Linked DNA regions of Saccharomyces cerevisiae S288C. Changing the gene in region 1 together with any one later gene gives a genetic interaction. Each region holds a gene or a part of one and is shown in the gene's direction. Other genes may lie near its edges.

What was found.
Region 2: mutations in PTH2 (region 1) and RTN2 together harm fitness more than expected from each alone (negative genetic interaction), as found in Saccharomyces cerevisiae (one large-scale study listed by BioGRID).

Annotation. Positions count from the first base shown.
Region 1 is NC_001134.8:112,151-115,442, reverse strand, and holds PTH2 (aminoacyl-tRNA hydrolase), read left to right. Parts: upstream 1-2,015; coding exon 2,016-2,642; downstream 2,643-3,292. Other genes in the region: type 2C protein phosphatase PTC3, read right to left, coding at 275-1,681; protein phosphatase regulator SHP1, read right to left, coding at 2,735-3,292. UniProt on the Saccharomyces cerevisiae protein: The natural substrate for this enzyme may be peptidyl-tRNAs which drop off the ribosome during protein synthesis.
Region 2 is NC_001136.10:92,497-96,261, forward strand, and holds RTN2 (Rtn2p), read left to right. Parts: upstream 1-2,108; coding exon 2,109-3,290; downstream 3,291-3,765. Other genes in the region: HEM3 (hydroxymethylbilane synthase), read right to left, coding at 266-1,249; YDL204W-A (uncharacterized protein), read left to right, coding at 1,637-1,789; ACK1 (Ack1p), read right to left, coding at 3,586-3,765.

The DNA of each region.
Region 1 (3,292 bases):
TTTTTCTATTTTTTTCATCAAAAAGGATTCAAAGGTTACCAACAAAATAAAAACAGAGTAAGGAAAAACAGATGTATCTATATGAATAGGATTTATAAATTCTGTTACAATTTATCATTCTCTCGTAATGATTTTTATGAATTTCACCATCTCCTCAATATGGGCCGCAAAGATGATCCAGTAAAAAACAATCCATCGGCAGAAGAGGAATAACAAATAAAGATAACAAAGTTTGACTACTCTTTCGTTGCAAAGTACGGTTCGACAATATTTATTATTCAATTTCTTCAATCTTGGAACCCTTCTTCGCATTTTCATTCTTGCCGTTTTCTTCGCCGTCGTTATCATCGTTATCATCAGCATCATTAGGTTCTGTTTCTCCTGCAGCCGCATTGCTTAAAGATGCCAACATATCTGATAAAGAAGCACCATGGAAATAAGAAGTGTTGCCGTCACTGTCGGAGCTGGGCCTCTGCCTTATTTGAATCCCGGCTTCTAATAGAGCCTCCAACGAAAACAAGTCAATAGGGCCAGTTCTATCCTCACCTGATAACTTTGAGGGAGTAGCACTGCTGCCTAATTCGGTATCAAGATCATCAATTTCCATGTCGTCATTATCTTTACTACGATTCAAGCGGTCTTGTAATTTTTTGGTGGTTATTGCGAACACTTCGTTATCATCATCCGAAAAATCATGGAAATCAAAAATACTTTTCCTTCTTTGGACAAAAGACGTTTGGATATTGTAATTTTTTGATCTCATACGCTCAAACCATTGTGACTCAGATTCATTTTCCTTTAGTAAAGCAACAATGGAAATACTCATATTATCACAGCCAATTCCTGAGCCTTCAGTTGTGGGTGAACAACAAACATCTACGATTCTAGATGAAATGTCGCTCAACGTCATATTACCTTGACTTATACCGTAGTGAACCAAGTCAACACACTCTTGAGAAGTTAAACAATCCCAAATACCATCACATGCTAAAATAACAAATTCATCCTCATCATAATTCAAATTGTGACAAATGATATCAGGAACACATGTAACGACTTGCTCATGAGGTCCCAATTTTGTGTTAGATTTGAATTCAAAATCACCTATGGCTCTTGATAACGCTAAATTTCCATTAACACGGTCCATCTCAACAAAACCATCAGCAGCTACAATACGAGATTTTTCACTTAACAATGTGGGCTTATGATCAAATGACATTGCTTTACTATTACCACCAGTAGATAGAACTGTTCTACTATCACCGGAATTGGCGCAAATTAGTAGCTTTTTCAATTGAGATACCAATATCACAGTTGCTGTACAACCACTATGGTCATCTTTTAATTTTTCATCTTTCAACAACTCAACATCTGTAGCTAAAAAGGTATCTATTAAGCACTGCTCTAACATACCGCTCTTGAAGCTCTCCTGTTTTTTCAGTATAGATATCATTTTAGAGCCACAAAACTCCGCTACAGAAGAACCACCATGACCGTCAAATATACCATAAAATGCGAGATGTTCCTCGTCAGACTCAGCCAAAAGGTTCGGCTCAACAATATGGGCATCTTCCATGGACATACGCCAGCCTTGCATGGCACATAGTCCAAACGCTGTCAAACAGTCCGTACCAGAATGATGCTCTTTGTCGATAATTGGATTGGACAATATTTGACCCATGTTATCTCTCTCTTTCTTCGATTTGTCTTCTTGGCCTTCTTCGTCTGCCTATAATAGAAACTTCAAAAAGTAAAATGAATATAGTCTAAAAACAGAAAGGGGCCTTCCGGTGGCAACAATCGAGCCAACAAGCTCTAAACACCTTTTACTCCTTTGAGTTTATTCTCTTGAGGGACAACCCATGTTGTTTTTTCTTCAACTCGCTGATATCACGCCTGACGAAAATAATGTTTAAAGGTTATTACTACTCTTCTAGAAGCTCTTAAGCATAAGAGCTAATTGTTTCTTGCTATATTACTTGTTGACAGCGGAGTAACATGATAACGTCTTTTTAATGGAAAAGATGACAGTTTCTTCGAATTACACCATAGCTTTATGGGCTACTTTCACCGCAATCTCCTTTGCCGTGGGTTACCAGTTGGGTACGTCGAACGCATCATCAACTAAGAAATCCTCAGCTACTTTACTGCGTTCTAAAGAAATGAAGGAAGGAAAGCTACACAATGACACTGATGAGGAGGAAAGTGAAAGCGAAGATGAGAGCGATGAGGACGAAGATATTGAGTCCACTTCATTGAATGATATACCTGGAGAAGTTAGGATGGCATTGGTGATTCGTCAAGATCTTGGCATGACAAAGGGCAAAATAGCGGCACAATGCTGTCACGCAGCATTGTCATGTTTTAGACATATTGCTACAAACCCCGCGCGTGCTTCATACAACCCAATTATGACACAAAGATGGCTAAATGCTGGACAGGCTAAAATAACGTTGAAATGTCCAGATAAGTTTACAATGGACGAGTTGTATGCGAAGGCTATATCACTTGGGGTGAATGCAGCAGTTATTCATGATGCTGGTAGAACACAGATTGCTGCGGGAAGTGCCACCGTATTGGGTTTAGGACCTGCTCCAAAAGCAGTATTGGATCAAATAACAGGTGATTTGAAATTGTATTGAGGTACAAATGATATATACTACGGGTATAGATATACGTGCATTTATATATTAAGTTGAAGTCTTTTCCCGTTTCTGTTTTTGTATATTTATGCTCATGCCCATCTTTGCACGACAACGGAGTTCAGCAGATCAGCGTCCTTCAATGTTGTCTCATCGTTGCTTATTGGTTTGATAGGAAAGGCATAATTCAAGGTGAAATTCCTCGATGGGTCAGTGTTCGCATTTGATGTCACATGCTCATACAAAAACTTTACTGTATCTGTGGAATTGCAGTGCAAAACTTCTCTTTTGCCATTTGCGTATCTAATTTGGATGGAGGTGTCGCCTTGTTTTGGCTCATTGTCCGGCATGGGTTGTTCCTGAGCAGCGGGTGTCTCATTCTTTGGAACCTCCGCAGGTGACGATTCACCCGGGATAGGAGATCCTAGTCTTTGGCCCTGGCCTGAAAAACCGCCCAGTTTTCTCGTCGGAGCTTTATAAGACTCATCTAATTTTTTATATACATTAACTTCAACTTCTTGTCCAAATTGCACATCTAAGAGCTTTAATGGAGCCCTCCCTTGATTTAACTCGCTCAAATAGAAACTGTTCGCAGGATCATCATAGCGATAAAGCGGACCATCGGCCACTTGAAAACCTTCCTTCCAAAA
Region 2 (3,765 bases), on another chromosome or scaffold:
AAGCTATAATAAATATATTAACAACGAAGCTTGTATGAATAGTATAAAATAAACAAAGGTAGGAATTACATATTCTAATTGACAAAATATTTATGCAGTGGTCATTTGAAAATGGTCATTAAATTAAACAAGTAATATGAGAGGAATGAGAGGGAAATAAATAACTGAAAGATAAAGGAGATAAGGAAAAAAAAAAAAAAAAAAAAAAAAAAGGGAACTTTAGTTAGTAATAATAGAGTTTTTGGACTGATCAAATTAATGGTGTTCATTTGATTCTGTCTAAATTAATTTCATCCAGAATTTTCTTTGCGCCATCGGCAATCATTCTTTCAGCTAGTATCTTACCACACGCCATGGAATCTTCTTTAACATTTTCTATTAGCATTTCAATTTCGTCTTCTACTGCTTCTGTGCCTTCAACGTCAACTACAATGGCCTTTAATAGTAATTTTTTAGTCTCTTCATTGTATTTAGATTCCACACCAATAGGAACGGAACAACCCCCCTCTAAAGTTCTCATCAAAGCACGCTCCGAAAGGCAACATATAGTTGCATTTAGATCGCAAATTTCGTCAAGAATCTTCATCATCTTGGTGTCACCCTTTCTAATTTCTATACCCAGGGCGCCTTGTCCAACTGCATGGTACATTGTATCCGAATGGAATCGCTGCGTAATTCTGTTTTCCAACCCCATACGCATCAACCCAGCAGACGCCAAGATGATGCATTGGTACGGAGATTTTGGGTCGTCTAGTTTTTGTAATCTAGTTTGTATATTTCCTCTGACACTTTCAAATTTCAAATGTGGGTATTTTCTTTTTAGCTGAGCAGATCTTCTCACGGATGAGGTTCCCACAATCCCCCCGTCTGGAAGGTCATCCAGAGACTTATAAGCAGAGTAAAAGGGCATGACAAGACAATCTGTTGGATCGACCCGCTTAGTGATACCCCCCAGCTCGAAACCCTCTGGTAGTAAAGTGGGCATGTCCTTCAGAGAATGAACGATCAAGTCAAGCTTCTTTGAGGGATCGTCATGGTAAAGATGGTCTTCCAACTCCTTTGTCCATAAAGCTTTACCGCCAAATGAGTACAAAGGTTTGAATTGAATCTGGTCACCAAGAGTTTGCAAAGTGAAAACCTTGCAGTCGTAGTCCGGATACTTTTCTTCGATCAGTTTTAAAACATGGTTGGATTGTATTACCGCCAATTTCGATTTTCTCCCACCAATATGTAGAGTTTCAGGGCCCATAGTACGTGTGTATTTACCAACTACAAATTTATCTAGATTTTCTTCGCTTTTCTTTTTTTCTATTGTTCTAGATATTAATACGGGATGAGAAGAACAGAATATTCAAAATCTAATACAGCCCTGTACCATGCAAACACGAGCGTCAATCTGCCAATGACCTTGAATTCAGGCTATGTGTAGCAATAATACAGATAGTTAGTAGCCTCGTTTATATAAAGCGTTCCTTTACTTTTTCATTTTCTTTCTTTTTTTATGTTTGATTTTTTTACTTTTTCACTTTAAAAAATTGCTGAAATTTTCGTAGCCAAAAAAAAGACCTTCATTGCTTACTCATCGGTTTCTTATTGGTCAGACGCTCCCCAGGGTCAATTGACAAGGAGAGAAGGAATGTTATATGGGAATTGCTGCGTAAAGATGGTCAAAAATCCTGGACTGCCGTACGAACGACAATGTAAGGATGACTGCATTAGCCAGAAAGACATCTTTACCCCCGGTGCTGCCAGGGAGCAAAATAATTACGAAAAGTGGACGCAAAGTTAACTTAAACTACAAGGGTAGCAGCAGAATGTGTCGGTGGTACCGGTGTGATAATGCCCCATTTGAGATGCTTGTAATTGTGGCCTAGCAATAAGAACGCAAGGCGTTTTTGTTGAAAGGAGAACAAGGTTAGACGGTGACGTTTAGGCGCATAGGCAATCTCCCCTTATTGTTCACCCTTATTTCCACCCTCAAACGATAAAGCTTGCTACTTTGATGAAAAAAATATATAAAAGGGATTGAAAAGCAGATCAATTATGTAGCAATAGTAGTAATAACTTGTTCAATTGCTTGTCTCAACTTGCCACAAACTATCATCAACATGAATAGGAATACGACTACCAATAAGAACGCGAATTTGAATAACAGTAGAAATGCTAACGCTCCCGGTGAAGCAGGTCATCAGAACAAGACGGGATTGATATACTGGACTAACCCTAGCAAGTCGGGTGCGAGCTTTGCTGCGACTCTGGTGAGTTTGCTGATCCTCAGAAATGTCAATGTTATTTCTGTTTTACTTAAGATCGGATACATGGTGTTGTTCACGAGTTTTGCGGTGGAGCTTTCTACAAAGGTGCTATTTGATAAAGGAGTAGTGTCTAGGTTTGGCATGCAAGAGTCTCCGGACCTTGTTGGCGTCTTAAAGCCTCATATCGACCGCGAATTGGATCGTCTGCCTGCGTTAGAGGACAGAATCAGAAAGTTAGTGTTTGCACACAGAACAAGAAACAATTTTACCATTGGTGTTTCCCTCTATTTCTTGCACGGCCTATTTGCTATATTCTCTATGAACACTGTTTTGATAATGACCACCATCTTTTTGTACACTGTGCCTTTAATCTACGATAGAAAGCAGGCTAGAATTGACCGTGCTATCGACAGGATGAAGGATCTAGTTATTCATAGGTTTCACAAAAATTACAACAAGGTGGTTGAAAAGACTGAACCATACATTGACAAGATTATCCCACCCCAAACCGATGAAGGCAGCTACTCAACCTCTATCAGTAACGAAAACAAATCTTCTACTTCTCAACGTAACAAGAGCGGCCTTTCCTCTTCTGAGTTTGACAACATGAACGACACGTCAGCCTCCAAAAGTGGCAAAGACAGCTATTCTACCTCTCAATATAACCGAGCCGAATATCCAGTTTCTCAGAATGAGAATATTGGCACCTTAAAATCTGGGAAGCAGGAAATACCAACAGAGAAGGATTTCAACAACAGGCATGAAAACTTCAGTAAACCAGATGTCAAGACATATGATCCAAGAACAGTTGATATTGAAGAAGAATTAGCAGCTCATCAGCGTGAACTGGAGCAAAACCTAAAAGATGGTGATTACAATCTGGTAGGAAGCAAGGAAATCCCAGATCCAATCACCGTTCCAGCTCCAACTAGACACACCACTAAACCCGCCGAAAGCCAATCGATTCCCATCAAGAATAATGAAACCTTACACAAAACCACGCACGGCCTAAAGCAAAAATTGCAACACGCATAATCTAGTTTTTTTTTTTTTCTCTCTTCTTTCTAGCTAGTAGTTCATTTCCTTTTCTTTTTTTCAAAGAGGTCATATTTATCACCAACTATATATTTTTTTGAAGAAAAGATATCATTACAACGATAAGTAGTTACAATATTTTTTTTATTTAGTTTAAAATAATGAGTAAATGACGTCGCATTTCTTCGCTTTTGTTATTTTTATTCTCCTCTCATTTTTGAGGAGAATGTTACAATATTTTACTAATGTCCTGAATAATATTTGATTTATGGCATAATAAAGAAATGCGAATTCGTTAATTTGTCAAACTTCGAAGAGCATCAACTGCCTTCCTGAATCCCATTCTTGCAGCCCTCTGATAATATTGTTTGGCCAGATCCAAATCAACTTCACAACCGACACCTTTTTCGTAATAAAATCCTAAGGCAAATTCAGTGCGGGCTAATTTACCGTCTGAACACTTGCTGCTCTTCAA